Diceros bicornis minor: one gene and its partner. Each later gene encodes a partner of the first gene's protein in a complex. Links are inferred from orthologs where the notes say so. Each region holds a gene or a part of one and is shown on either strand. Other genes may lie near its edges.

Region 1 (7,398 bases):
CCTTCATCACCCAAGAAGTTGCTCCCCAGATGGAGAAATCCAGATCCCTGAAGTGACCTCAGATTGAGCCTTGACCTCAGCCAGAGACCAGATGCTCCCACACCAGAACTAGTCACATGCTGAGCCCTGATCCAAGCCACAATGTGACTGTAGTTTTAATCCAAGCTCCACTGTCCCAGATTAGAGTCCCGAACAGGCCAAGGGATCCAGGGCTACATCCCCTAAAGGGAGGGGACCAGTGGGCACCAGGTCTCAGGCCTGTGGCCATGGCCCTAGGACTGGGCTCCTCCTACCTCACTGAGCTTCGGCTCCCGACAGGGTCCCTGCAGTAAGCGGCCCTGTGCCCTAATGGGGCAGGCTCACTCGCAGCCTCCCTGGCCCCGTGCCCTGCCCAGACCTGTTCTAGATTCCACACCACCCTTCCCCCAGGCAGCCTCCACCTCCCACCCACCCGGCTCCGGCCGGGCCTCCGGAGACTCAGCTGAGAAGGCTGACAGGCAGGAGGGCTGGGGCGGCACCGCGGGGCCATGGAACCCACTGCAGGGCCTGTGCACTACCAGAAGCTGCTGCTCTGGGAGCCGCGCTCGGAGTCTGAGGAGGAAGAGGAGGAAGAGGAGGAGACAGCAGAGCCACTCGTTCCCAACCCCTGGCGGCCCCAGGACTCCTCTGGGTGAGTCAGGCAGGGGTCTGGGCACCCGGCAACTCAGGCCTGAGCCCATAAGGGGGGCCAGACAACTTCGTGCTTGGCTCAGCTCCAGGAACTTTCTAGTTGAATGCGGGGAACCTAGGCTGCAGCCCCCGACCTGGCCAGCACCAGTCAATCCAAGGTCTGTGCTTCTGAAGGGACATTTGTACCAAGCCAGCCCTGCCAGCTGCTCTGTCAAAGTTCCCAGCCTCCACCCCCTGGTGCAAAAGGCACCTGCTGGGCAGGCTACACCTGGCTAGGCCCTGCTCCTCAGGCCTCCCTCCTGATTGGCTCAACCCTGCCTCTCCAACCTCCTCTCCAGAGATTCCTTCCCAGCTGTCCCCAGTTTCCCTATGATCTTTCCCATCCCCAGGTCTCCATCCACGATGTGCCCTCTGCCAGGAAGCCCTTCTCCTCAGTGAACTTGTATTCCTCTTGCAAGCAAGACCAAACCTTCTGGGAAATATTCTCTGGGTTCTCTGGGGCTCTTGGGTGTCCCCTGCCCCAGCCCCGGTTCAGGACACCCCCCTCTGCAGGAATAATGTTGGTGGTCTGCCCGGAGCCTGGGCCCGACTGGTTGCCGCCCTGCTGCTGCTGGCTGTTGGCTTCTCCCTGGCTGTGTGGCAACTCCACACCAGGGGTGGCTCTTCAGAACCCCTGGGCTCTGTGGCCCCTCTGCCCAGCGGGCACTCCCACCGCCCCGGCGTATACCACCATGGAGCCATCATCAGCCCTGCAGGTCAGTGCTGGGGGCAGCTCAGGGGAGTGGAGGAGCCGGGGTGACTGGTCCCAGGCCCCTCCCCATGACAGGCCCTTCTTTGCTACAGCCACGTGCTCCCACCTGGGCCGAGAGCTGCTTGTTGCTGGGGGCAATGTCGTGGACGCTGGAGTTGGAGCAGCTTTGTGTCTGGCAGTGGTGCATCCTCATGCCACAGGGCTAGGTCAGTGACCCACGACCCCAGACAGAGACCCCAACCCCAGGCCTGATGGGTGACCTGGAACTCAGACAGTCAGCGGCCCTCACCTCAGGGCTGGTTAGTGAGTAGGACCTAGGACTTGGGCAGTAGCCCCGACCTTGGCTGTGACCCTTGATCCCAAGTTTGTGTGATCTTGACCCCAGGCCTGGTTATTGACCCATCTTCAGGCCTAGTCAGGAACTCCTGACCCCAGGCTAAGTCAGTGACCCTGATCCCAGTCAGTGCCGCTTACCCCGGTGTGACCCCTTTCTCTCCCCTCAGGTGCCATGTTCTGGGGCCTCTTCCACAATAGCTCCTCAGGCAATTCAATTGCCCTGACGTCAGGTCCAGCCCAGATCCTGGCCCCCGGCCTGGGGCTGCCCTCGGCTCTGCCTACCCTGCGCTTGCTGCACACACGCTTCGGCCGCCTGCCCTGGCCACGCCTGCTGGTGGGCCCCTCCACGCTGGCTCAAGAGGGCTTCCTGGTAGACACAACCCTGGCCAGGGCTCTGGCAGCCCAGGGCACGAAGGGCCTCTGTCCACTCCTTTGCCACACTGACGGGACCCCCTTGGGCCCTGGGGCCCGAGCCACCAACCCAAAACTGGCGGCCGTGCTACACAAGGCAGCCCTCGCCCCCACCCCAGACCTTGCTGGGGAGGCCCTACTGAATCTGCTGGCCAGAGACCTGGGGATGGAGGGACCCTCAGCAGGGCCCAGGCCCACCCTGGAGCCAGCACTGCAGCTCCCTGTGCCCCAGGGCATCCTGTTCACCACCCCCAGCCCCTCAGCTGGCCCAGAGCTGCTGGCACTGCTGAAGGCAGCCCTACACTCCGGAGGGCCCAGCCCTGACCCCTGCCCACCACTCCTACAAGCTACTGTGACCCCCGGGAGCAGTGCCCTGGCTACCGTGGACAGCAGCGGCTCTGTGCTCCTTCTCACCTCCTCGCTCAACAGCTCCTTCGGCTCTGGACACCTGTCCCCAAGCACCGGGGTTCTACTCAGCAACCTTGTGGCCAAGTCTGCAACTAGTGCCTGGGCCTGCCCCCTCATCCTTCGTGGCAGCCTGGATGACACAGAGGCCGACGTGTTGGGGCTGGTGGCTTCAGGGACCCCCGCAGTGGCCAGAGTCACGACTCGCACCCTGCTCAGCCACCTGGCCGGGCCCCAAACCCAGGCCCAGCAAGGACAAACAGAGAGCCCCAGCATTTGTGGCCAAGGGACCCTGCTCCAGGTGGCAGCACATGCAGAGCATGCCCACGTCTCCAGTGTCCCCAATGGCTGCTGCCCCTTCCAGGGGTTCTAAGCGGGGAGAGTGTCTGACAGGGAATGGGGGGGTGGGGTCTCAAGCCTGGACGCAGGGGCAGAGCAGGCCCAGCAGCCATGGAGTGCATAAAAGTGTGCATCGATGATGTGTTCATTGCTGGCTCAAGCCCTCAACCTCTGGCCTGGTCAGTTACCTGGACTAGAGTTCTGGCTCTTTTTTCATCTAAGGAACCTGAAGATAATAAGGAAGGGGCAGCAGGGCCTGGGGCCAGCCCCGAGTTCAGATCCAGCTCTGGGAAGGACAGGGGGAAGAAAGCCAAGCCCCGGCTGGGTTCTGGGCCCCACGGACAGGGCAGGCAGAGCCTGGAGTACTGCTGGCATCTCCGTCCTCCCCTTCAGGCCACCCTCTGCTGATCTCCCTCAATGGGCTGGAAAGGAAATAAAGATCACGTCTCCTGGATGCCATGTGCCATTCCTGCTTCTTGTAAAATTTCCCTTCAGCCTTTGAGGTGCCTGGTGTCAGGGCTTCCCCCATGGGCAGCACAGCAGACCCACAGCCAGAGAGGCAGAGCCCGGGCTGGTGTCCTTCAGCTCCCCCCGCTCTGCGCACCTCCTGCCTCCTGGGGCACCATACATACAAGATAAACCTCTTACTCTCACTTTCTAAAACAGACAGCAGAGCAAGGGAGGGGTTGAGAGGGTGTCCCTGGGTACAAAACCGGCTGGAGCTGGGTGTGTGGAATTTACAGGCCGAGTTTAGCCCTGACCTCCCCCCTCTCCCAGAGAGTGGGGGCCTCTCTGGACCACAGCCCTCCAGAGACAGCTTCTCAAGTCAAGAAGCGGGGGTGCACTCCTCCCCCCACTGTAAAAGGCATCTCTCATTTAATGGAACTCTTGATCCCACCACCTCCACCTCCCCCCCACCAAAGAAAGTTCTTCCCCAGCTCAGTAAATGGTACCACGATCTGCGCGGTTATTTTAGCCCCAAACCTGCCATCCCTCTCTTTTCCTCTCCCCCCAACATCCATCACCCCCTACCGGCTCCAAGTTAGCTGGAACCTGGCCTGTTCCTGTGTTACCTTGGCCAATCCACCACTGTCTCTGTCCTTCCTGCTTCTGCCTTTGCACTCCTACAGTCCATCCCCCACACAGCGACAGAATAATCTTTTAAAAATGTAAATGGAATCAAGGCTTGCGCTTGCACAAAACCCTCCAATGACTTCCCATCACGCTCAGAATAAACCCCAAACTCCTGGTCTCCCGGAGTGAGAGCATAAGAACCGCGGCCGGCCCAGCCCCCTCCGGGCCCCGCCTCCCAGCCGACCCAATCCAGTGCGCATGCGCCGCGACCTGACCTGGAAGAGGCTGTCTTCGGAGCCCACGTGTTCGAGGAGCATGGCGGAGATGGAGAGTGAGGACGTCGCAGAGACTATGTCCCCGGGGGGAGCGACGAAGAGCGGCGCCCGGCCTGCCGACCGCCATGGTCTGCTGAAGCACAGCCGCGAGTTCTTGGACTTCTTCTGGGACATTGCGAAGCCGCAGCAGGAGACGCGGCTTGAGGCCACGGAGAAGCTGCTGGAGTATCTGCGCACAAGGCCAGAGGTATGGTGGCGGGGCCTGGGGCAGGGGACTGCGTAGATCCCGGCACAGTTGTGGCGGCGGGCCCCAGGGGTTGGGACGTGGGGCACGTGGTCGCGAACCTGGATGCCCAGCTGAGCGCGATCGGGGTGCGGGGGTGGGCGGGTGCGGGACGATTCTTCTCACTGGTCGACCGGAGGATGCCCTTGGTTCCGCAGGGATCCGAGATGAAGTACGCCCTGAAGCGCCTCATCACTGGCCTCGGGGTCGGGCGAGAAACCGCCCGGCCTTGCTACAGTCTGGCCCTGGCACAGGTGAGGTGGTGGCTCCGGGAAGGAGCCTAGCCGTGCTGGTCAAAACGGTGTGGGGTGAGGAGAGCAGATGTCTCAGCTGCAGAGGAAGAGGCACTGGTCTGAGGGAGAAGTTGGGGGTGGCATCTGAGCTGATGGGAGGCGTCCCCACGTGGAGGTAGAGAACGTGTGTGAGCAGGCCTGTCAGCAGAGAAGCCCAGGCAGATGGAGTGGGAGCTGGAGCAGGTTCTTTCTTGTACACGATTGATCGGCCTCTTAGATACATTTACTGGGAGTGGTAAGCTTTGTGGGGGGTGGGGGGTTCCCTTATCTCTGCAAGGTTCAGGGCCCTCTCCCCCCACAAGGAGCACGAGGCTGAGGAACGTGGACAACTGGAAGGGCGATAAAGATCCAGTGCTTTAGGATCAGCCTGGGAGGACCTCAGAGCAGGCTGTGGGGACAGTGTCTGGGAATCTCAGTGGAGGGATCTAGGGACCAAAGGAGGTACTTTCTGAGCCCAGGGGGGCATGGGGCAAGGAGGCAAGATTCAGCTGCATTCAAGCAGCAGAGTTCATCATCAGCGGTGCTCAGAGGGGAGTGAGCAGCTTCAGAGGCATCCTTGGAGTGGGAGCAGGGGCCCCAGGCCTCTGGGCAGAAGTTGAAGGGAGAAGTGGGAGGGGGTTGAGTCCACTGGAATGTGGCTGGACCACTCCTCTGAATCCCTCTCTCCCTCCTGCCACAACTCCTGGCAGCTGTTGCAGTCTTTCGAAGACATACCCTTGTGCAGCATCCTGCAGCAGATACAAGAGAAGCATGACCTGCAGAAGGTTAAGAAGGTGAGAGTTAGTGGCCCCAGGGGGGTCAGCAGCCCTGCCCTGGCTGGAGTGGGGAATACTCAGGCCCTTCTCACCGGTGTGTGGAATCCTTTTTCTAGGCAATGATGAGACCTGCTCTCTTTGCAAACCTGTTTGGAGTGCTAGCTCTCTTTCAGTCAGGCAGGCTGGTGAAGGTAAGAGCTTTGGGAGTACAGCGGGTAGGGGGACAGGCTTGGGGGGCAGTGGCATGCCCTGCTCATACCCTCTCCCCCTCTGTGAGTACCAGGACTCGGAGGCACTGATGAAGTCGGTGAAGCTGCTCCAGACCCTGGCCCACTACTACAACCACTTGCAGGAGCAGCCCCAGAAGGCCCTGGTGGACATCCTCTCTGAGGTACGTACGGGCTGACCAGCTGTGGGACCTCGGGTAGCGCTACGTGTTATAGAAACATGGAGAAGGCTCAGTTCATGCTCTAGAGCAGCGCTAGCCCATAGAAACATAAAAGTATGTAACTTGACATTTTTAGTAACTACGTTAAAAGGTAAAAATAAACAAGTGTAGTTAGTAACAAATTTCAGTTAACCTAATATCTCTAAGGTATTATTTCAGTATGCAATCAGTATAAAAAAATTGTAGAGATGCGTTACGTTTTTTGTTGTATTAAGTCTCCAAAACCCACTGTGTATTTTATGCATACGGCACATTTCCATTCAGACTTGCACATTCCGAGTGCTCAGTAGGCACATGTGGCCAGTGGCTGCCATATTGGGCAGTGCAGTTCTAGAACAGTGCCTGGCATGTGGCAAGTATATTAAACACGTTTGCTGTTGTCTGGGGCAAAGCTGACCCCTCAGGGGCCCCCACTGCCCTACTTGAGAAATGGAGGTAGGCTGGTACCCAGAATCCTTTGCTACTGAGGAAAAGACGGGGACTGGCACATCCTGGGCCAGGGCTCTCTGCGCAGCCCGGGCTGCAGAAGCCAGAAGAACCTAGATTCAAATCCTAGCTCTCCATTTGGGGTTCCTTGTGTAAGAAATGGGCTAGTCCTGAAAACCCAAAAGAGGAATAATTAAAAGGGTAGCCCTGGGCCAGTTGGCATCAGCGGGGTGTTTGTTGAAAGCCTAGCTTCCTGGGATGGAAACCCAGCTTCCTGGGACTTGGGAATTTGAGCTTTTTAACAAATGCCCTCTGGTGATTCTGATGTCCAGCAAGGTGGATTGTGGCTGTGCCACCTCAGGCTGGCACTGTGCCAGGGGCCTCACAGGAGCCTGGCAGGTAGACCAGGGCCCATAGGGCTCACTCCACAGGGAAAGACAAAAGGTGCCGTGAGGAAGCCACCCTTCATCAATCCGTCTCCCCACCCCAGGTCCCAGAGGCCACGTTGCAGGAGGTCCTGCCGAAGGTCCTCAAGGCCGACTTGAATTCCGTACTTGGCTCCCCTGAGCACCTGCAGCTCTTCCTCCTGGCCCAGCAGAAGGTGCCCGCAGAGCTCGAGAAGCTGATGGGATCGGTCAACCTGTTCTCAGACGAGAATATCCCCAGGTGTGAGGGAGTTGGGCGGATGGGCTCTCCCTGGGGCCGCAGCTGGCCATCAGCAGGTTCGCAGTGTGGCCTGGGGGTGTCCCTGCTGCCCCAGGCGCCCTGGCCGTTCCTCTTTGGTGGCTGCCCCCTGAGTCCCCTCTGCCCCCTCCGCAGACTGGTGAGCGTCCTGAAGACAGCTGCTGCCTCTGTGAAGAGGGAGCGCAGGCTGCCCACCGTGGCTCTGGACCTGCTCCGCCTGGCGCTTCAGGAGGACAAGTTCCCGCGGTT
Region 2 (7,863 bases), on another chromosome or scaffold:
CTGGAGTTGCTATGGATAGGGTAAAATTCTACAAGTTGACATTTACTGCAATCAACTGGGAGGGCATTACCCTGTAGTTTAATAACTGATGTTCATAACAATGGTAATAAATCATTCTAAAAAAGTTAAATTCTGTTTAGTCTAGACTGCTTAAAAAAAAAAAGCTGGAAAATATACAACATATACTTTAAAACTTAAAACATTAACCTTGATGTATCTAAAACCATTTACCTACTGACTGAGATAAAGTCAGATAAATAAGAGAACACTATACTGTTGGAGGTCCTTCCGTTCATTTGACTGAAGGTTTTGTGCAAAGCTGCACTAGACACTAAGGGGGGATGAACAGATGATTAAGACACTGAATGTATCTTGGAATAGATCATGTCTACTGGGAGTGATGAGACACAAATATTATAATCCAAAGTAGATGATAAAACACCTTAAGAAAGACACACAAGTTCTGTGAGTTGATGACAGAGTAATTAGTTTTGTATTAGAGAAAAAGGATCAAAACACTGGAGCTGGCTTTGAAAGATAGGTAAGATTTGCAGATGTAAGGACTTGCACAGAAAGAGTTAGCAAGGAGAAAGGGATTCTAGAAGGCATATTCTGGCAATCGTGTATGGAATGGAGACAAAGCACTTGGAAGCAACACCTGTTATCACTCAGCTTCCTTTCCCTAAGGGATTTAAACCATTTGCTTGCCTTTGATTACCATCCATAAGCCAAGGACTTTCCTGGTCTATCTTCAGTCCAGAGCCTTCTCCTGAGCGGCAGATCAACTAACAAGGCTGCCAACTGGACAGCTCCATTTCATGTCCTACAGGCACCCAACTCAATGCATCCAAAACATAAGTCACAATCATCTCCAAACTCCCTCACCTGCATGAATTCTATTTTTCAGAAAATACTAATGTTATCCACCCAGCTGTCAAAGGCAGAAACCTAGGAGTCATCTTTTACCAGGCATCTCCCCTCCACACCCCTGCCAAAACCACTGCCAAGTTAAGTCAATTCCATGCCTTATTTGGCACGGACTTCATTGCCTGGTTTCTATGACGTCTCAGTAGCAGAGTTAAAATTTCAGGGCTAAGCAGGATAAAAACATTCATGATTTTAGTCGTTCCACAAACACCTCAAATGAAGGAAATATAATAATATATTAGAACAATCAGAGAACTGCTCGGGGATTTTTAAAAATTTTTCACGTTAAAAAAAAATCACAATCTGAACCACCATCAGTCCCCCAACCATTACTGTATTGGCCATTTATAGTATTTTTACATGACTCCTATAATTTTTTCCTAACATGAAGAAATTCATCATCTCTGTGGTATCCAAACCGTGTCTTAAAAAAGACGAAAAAACAAACAAAAAATTGGAGAAAAAAGTGCTGAAAAAGTCCTGGACTAGTAGCGAGATACTGCAGTCAATTTTTAGTTACTGCGTTATGAACAATTTTAAAATAATTTATATTTTTTTCTAGGTGTTTTTGCACTTAAACGTGGGCAGGCTCCCTTCTTAGAGCGCCTACCACTTTCAACAAACAAAAGGCATACCACATATTCTCAACCCAGATTGTATTTATAAAATGCTGACCAGGGGCTGGTTTAGGTCTAAAATAAATTGACAGTTATACCTGGGCTTGGGAAGAAAACTTCAGGCCTCTTCCCAAGTTTGGCTGAGTTGTAGCCATACATAAAATAAACCTAGAGTAGACTAATACCATCAAAGAATGCTAAAATCTGTGATATGGAGTCCTATGAGGTTGGAAACATCTTAGGAAGTTGGTATATCTCAAAGAGGCACTGCCCTGTGCATCTTGAATAAACCAAGGCAGTAGCACTCCTTAATCCCCCTTAATTCCGTAAGGTTTTGTTTCACGCCTCCAGTCAAACGATGGCTAACACTGCTCTCAACTACAAAACCGAGACTTCTCTGAGCTCCTATTTAACTTTCTTTCAGAGTTCATCGCTTTCCTATTTACCTACTTTCACAAGTAGCAACAGCTTTCACCGGTGTTTCCCCGTGAAAGTAACTCCCCGAAGCCTCTGAAAAAAACCTCTGCTGAGGTCCACCCAATATCTTAAAACTATTAAAATATTTCCAGGACTACCATTAATAACTCCTTTCAGTTTCAACGTGTGGTTTCATTACAGATCTTACAACACTTCAAAAAGCAAAAGAGGTGTACTTAAGTTAGCAAAACATTACCTTAGTAACTTCAAAGCCTAAGAGTCTTAAAAAGCAGATCTGAAACTTACGAACTTTCTGTCAAATAAGATGCTCTGACCATACGCTGCCGGCGAGACGGCAACTGCATTCCCAAACACGTAACAACACTAACGAGTATTTAAAAATTAGAATTCACAAAGTTAATTCTCTGCTATTGCTCAACACAAAACCCTATAAATTTCGCAAACTTTCTTGCTGAAAACCACTCCGATTTAGCGTCTCTAAGCGCAAAGAGAGCAAGAAAACTGTCTTCCGTCAAATGCATCACTAGGGACACGGCTTCCTCCCCACCTTTTTCTTCCTCCTCTTCCTCCTCTTCCTCCTCGTCCTCGTCGTCCTCCTCACTTTCCTCTCTCGGGCCGGGCATCTCGGGTTCTTTCTCAGACGCGGGCTGCGCGGCGGTCCCCTCTCCCTCCGCAGCAGCGCCGGACGACATGCTGCCGACCTGCGGGCGGGGAGGAAGCCAGACGCCTCGGTCCCCTCGCCTCCGGCGGGAGGGGCGGGGCGGCCACCGCGACTCAGCCGAGCCTTCCCGGCCCCAGGAAGCCGGGGGCCGCGGGAACCCCGGCCTTGAAGTTGCCGCCTCCCGCAGCCGGGACAGCGGCGCTCCGTCCCCAGGGCCGGCTTCCCTCCCGCTCCGCCCGCCGTCCGGGCATTCCCGCCGCGGGAAAGCGCGGGCGCCGCGCCGCCCCTCCCACCGCCCCGCCGAGCCGCGTCCCCTCCCCCGCCCCAGGCCGCCGTCCAAATGGCCGCGGCGGTGCCGGCGGGCCCCGCGGGGCCCTCTCGGCCTCCCCTCCCCCGCCGCGGCCCTCACCGCGGGTCCCGGCCGCCGCGGGCCTGGCGCGCGAGGGCACAAGGAGGCTCCGAGAGGCGGCGGCGGGCGCCGAGGAAAAGGCGCGCGGGCCGCTCTCTGGCCTGACGCTCGCGCCGCGCTCTCTGCTCCCCAGAATCAACAAGATTTTCAAAATGGCGGTTCGGGAAGGAAAGCGGGAATGCGGCGGCCAATCAGGGCCGCGAGCTGGGAGTTGGCGCGCGCGGGGTGGGGGAGGCGGGGCGGGCCGGGCGCTTCCTCGGGATGCCCGGGCGGGCGGGGCCGCGAGGGGTCGCCGGGGCCGCGCGCTCGGGGCCCGCTCCGGGCTGCGTCGGGCGTCCGGCGTCCGGCCGGCGCTCGGCCGGGAAGAGCGAGCAGGCGGCGTCCCGGGCGGAGGGCCGGCCTGGCGGCGCTGAACGGAAGAACGCTAGGGGGCCTGCGTGTGTATTGTCTCCACGGTTCGTTCCCGGAAAAGAGGAGCAGTCACGGGCCGGGGAGGGGGCGGGCGGGCGGCGGGAAGAAGTTTCCAAAGCTCGAAGTCGCTGTCTGCAGTATTTCACCGAGGTGGGGGGATTACTAAATGAGCGATCTCGTTTAGGTCCCAGAGACCGTGCTGGTGGTGACTCCGAATCTGCTGCATTTCTGAGGACCCCAGCGCTTGTAAGGTGCACGGTGAAGAAAAAGACCCTAACACGTTGAAGGTTCACGTCACCAGAGACAGAGATAGATTTCCTGACCTGTAGGGGGAAAGTGTGTGTGTGTGTGTGTGTGTGTGTGTGTATTAGAACGGTATTGTCCAGTCCAGACCTCTCTCGCAGAGTCCTAGGCCGGCTCCACGGTGTTTTAAACTCAACATTTCAAAAACTGAACGCGATGCTTTTCCCCCTTCAAATGCTCCCCCTTTCTGTGTGTGATTCCCTGCATTTTCTCCCAACTCCTCAACCACTAGCGGCCCAAAGGATGCTTTTATTCAGTGGACTTAATGGAAATGTGATCCGTTAAGTTTGCCTGAATAGACTCCAGATTGCAGGGCAAAAATTAGACATTTTCTTTGAATCTTGTTTTTTTCCATTTGTGCTCTTTCCAAAACAAGCAAATCCTATTATTTCTACCCTCAAATTTTGTACCCTTTCTCACTCTGCTGATGGCGCTCAAGTCCTGCTCACTCTCTTTTTTTGCTTGTATTTCAACACAGCCTCTCACTGGTTGGCTGGTTTCCACATTGCCGCCCATACCCGCCAATAGTCACACAGCAGCCAAGGTGATTTTTTTAAAAAAATTATCAGATTGGATACTCTCTTGCTTAAAACTTTGTGGTGGCTTCACATCATACTTGGAATAAAATTCAAAATACTTATGATTTACAAGGTGCTATGTAATATAGTTGCTGGCAATCTCTGATCTCATCTGTCTGACACCATTGGCTGTTTCAGCCACGCAGGCCTTTGATGTTCCCCCATAAAGCCAAGCTCATTCCTACCTTTGGGCTTTCCACTTAACTTTTTTCTGCCCTTCCCACAGAATTCGTCAAATGTCTTGCACCTTCACATCATTGCTTCTGTGCTCAAGTGCTTCTCCCCCAAGGCCATCACTATTCCTTTTCCATTCTTTCACTCAAAAATATTAATTGAGCACCTACTCTGCCTGGCACTAGGAGCTAGAGAGCGGGACTAAGCCCTGCCATCTTTATGCTTACATTCTAGTTGAGGCAATGAACAAATAAACAAGTGAATATATTGTATGACAAATAGTGATAAAGTAAAGCAGGTTAAAGGAGACAGGAAATACCAGTAGAGTGGATGGGATTTTATTTTACATATTTGTGATAATTAAGGGAGATCTTGTTAATAAGATGACATTTGATAAGAGATCTTAAGTAAATAAGAGCAGTGGAGACAGACTGGATATATTCTAAAGAGTTCTCTAAAGTATTGGATGTAGGGTGTAAGAGACAGAAGTCAATGTTGACTCTGAGTTTTTGGTTCAGTAATCAGAACAGAGTAGCTATTTACTGAGATGAGGAAGTTCTCTGGGGTTAGTGGGGGGCAGGGCTTTTTTGGGTGGGAGCAGGGAAGGGATGTTGGGGAAGGGGATCAGTTGTTTTGTTTTGGATGTGTTAGGTTTAAGCTTCCTGTTAGCATCTAAATGGAGATTCAGAATAGGCAGTTGGATGTGAGAGTCTGGCATTCAGGGGAAGAAGCTTTAGCTCAAGATATAAATTTAGCCGTTGTCAACATGTATATGGTATTTAAAGCCCTGAGACTGGATGAGATCACTAACAGAGTGAATATCGGTAGAGATGAGGAGAGGGTCAAGATTGTACCCTGGAGCTCTCTAGTGTTTAGAGGTTCAGGAGAGGAAGTGGAACTCGCAAAGGAGATGAGAAGGAGCAGCTGTTGCCAGTGAAGTGGGAGGAGAATCAAGCGAAAGTTGTATCTCAGAAGCCAGATGATTCAGAAGTGTCTAAGAGGGAGACGATGATCAACTGGGTCAGAAGCTGCTAAAAGGTCAAGTGAGATGAGAACTGAGAATTGACCACTGGATATAACAATGATGTTATCAGCGACAGTGACAAGAGCTGTTTCTGTGGAATGGTGAGTATGAAGGTGCCAGGAGTGGGGATGTAGAGAGACAGGTAGGCAAGGAATGGATTCAGACACTCTTTCTAGGAATTGTGCTGTTCAGGGGAGCAGAGAAATGGACTAGTAGCGTAAAGGGAGTTTGTCTTTTAAGAAGGGAGCTATTACTGTATGTTTATATGATGATGGAATGAATCAGTAGAGTGGGGAAAATTGATGATGGAAGAGAGGGAAAGGACAGTAGCTGGAGCTGACCTAAAGTAGGTATGTCAAGTTGGTTCTCTGTAAGCACATCCTGAAGCAGAATATGGGGTACCAGATGTTTCTTAGGGATCAATACCTCTTAAAGGAAGGGAGAGGAAGCCAGATTGGCCAGAGGAAGAGGTCACACTGTGAAGCTGATGTGACAAAGCCTCAGCCCACCCTGAGGGGAGCTCTGGAGTGAGTACTGCTCTCCAGAGTGTCCTGCCTGGCTGGGCTTTTATTAGCCCCGCCTTGCTCAGTCACTGCCCGCAAGCTGTGCCAGGAAGGGCATGACCTCTGGTGAAGTGACTCCAGAGCTGTGGCAGATCCTGAGGGAGCTGACAGATGGGGGCTGTCTGCTGACTGCGGGCTCTGCAGCTGGGCATCTGGGTGGCACATCTCCATGTCTACCACAGGACATAAGAGGAGATGGAGTCTAGTCTTCAAGTGAAGGAATTGTCCTTCGATAGGACAGTGGGCAGTTTCTACACAGTAACAGGCGGGAAGACAGGGGATATGGGTACAGACGCTGGATGGAGGTTGGCAAATGTAGTTGGAGTTTAAGTTCTTATTGCTTTAAGTTTCTCAGTGAAATTAGGAGCAAAATCATTGACAGAGAGTATGGGAGCGGACTGTTGGAGGTTTCAGGAGAGAGGAAATGTGAGCTAGTCATGTAGGAGAGTGGGGGAGAAATGGATTGGGGAATGTAGGAGGGTTGCCAGGAAGCTGCAGGGAGGACCCAGTGAGATTAGTCATGAGGTCAAAAGGAGACCAGTCAGCATGATTGGTTTTCTGTAGCCATATTCAGCTACCTGGGAAGAGGTGTGAAGATGGCAAAGATTTGGATTTAACCAGGTTGGGATTTTGTCAGGCAAGGATGAAGGAAGGAGAGGAGGGTGAGTTGAGGATATGGGCAGGACGATGAATATAATGGTAGAGCATAGAATCTGAGTTGAGTAAGGAAGGTAAGGACATGAGAGGGGTGAGGCAGTGAAAATGGGGCAGGATCAAGAAGCAAGGTCTTGATTTCTCTTTGTTGTATTTATCACTACCTGAAAAATTTATTTGTATATTGTCTGTCTTCTCCACTAAAACGTAAGCTCCTTGTAGCTGGGAGGATTTGGTCTTGTTCATCATGGTATTTTTAGCACCTAAAGGAGTGCCTAACACATAGTAGGTGGTCAATAAGTGTTTGCCGAATGAATGGAAACCAAAATAAACTTTTGTTATGAAGATTCAGAACCTTTTTTGTTTGATATGATGAGATGGTGTATTAGGAAAGGACAGGTTATTTCAGCAAAAGTTTATTTAACAGCAGTTCAACAGTTTGGTTTAACAGCAAGTTTATTTCTCGCTCTATAAAGCTCTCTGTCAGCTCAGACAACTCCCCAGGGCCTCCGTTCATGTGGTTTACTCATTGTCTCAGCTACTTTGATCTTCTGGATCCCCCATCTCCACACAAGTCCTTGGCGTTCACGGTGGTAGGGGAAGAGAGCTGGATGAGAACTCATACCTGCTCTTCTATGATTCTGCTCATTGGCCAGTGGCCAGATCAGTCATATGACCCCTCCTAACTGCAAAGGATCTAGAAAATGTGAGGGCACATATGGAATAGTTGGTGAGCATTGCTATCTCTGCCCAGAAGAGGCTGATAATTGCAACCAGATAAAGTACAATTAGGATGAACAAGGGATGTGTTTGAAAATATCTGTTGGTTTTATTTTGGAAATACTAAAATGCTGATTCTTAATTTTTTTTTTTCATTTTTGCCTTGAGAAGTTTTTACATACACTGCACACATATATCTTTCTTTCTTATACACATATCTAGCTCTTACACACACATCTCTATCTTTCCCAGACTGTAAGCTTCATGGGCAGAGACTATGTCCATGCTGTTTATTATTATCTCCCAGAACTTGGCACAGTGCCTGACACATAGTAAATACTTTAAAAATATTTGTTTAATTGAAATGCATCCCCTTTTGGTTCT

What was found. Proteins that work in one complex are often made in the same cells at the same time.
Region 2: MYBBP1A (region 1) and DEK share a complex: the UniProt entries of both Homo sapiens proteins name them as parts of the B-WICH complex. The link is inferred for Diceros bicornis minor from reciprocal best matches to the Homo sapiens genes MYBBP1A and DEK.

The regions. Positions count from the first base shown.
Region 1 is NC_080757.1:13,301,464-13,308,861, forward strand, and holds the start of MYBBP1A (myb-binding protein 1A), read left to right. Parts: upstream 1-4,276; 5' UTR 4,277-4,300; coding exon 4,301-4,507; intron 4,508-4,701; coding exon 4,702-4,797; intron 4,798-5,525; coding exon 5,526-5,609; intron 5,610-5,707; coding exon 5,708-5,782; intron 5,783-5,874; coding exon 5,875-5,982; intron 5,983-6,955; coding exon 6,956-7,131; intron 7,132-7,284; coding exon 7,285-7,398. UniProt on the Homo sapiens protein: May activate or repress transcription via interactions with sequence specific DNA-binding proteins. Repression may be mediated at least in part by histone deacetylase activity (HDAC activity).
Region 2 is NC_080753.1:49,225,193-49,233,055, reverse strand, and holds the start of DEK (protein DEK), read right to left. Parts: upstream 3,163-7,863; 5' UTR 3,053-3,162; intron 2,684-3,052; 5' UTR 2,675-2,683; coding exon 2,530-2,674; intron 1-2,529. UniProt on the Homo sapiens protein: Involved in chromatin organization.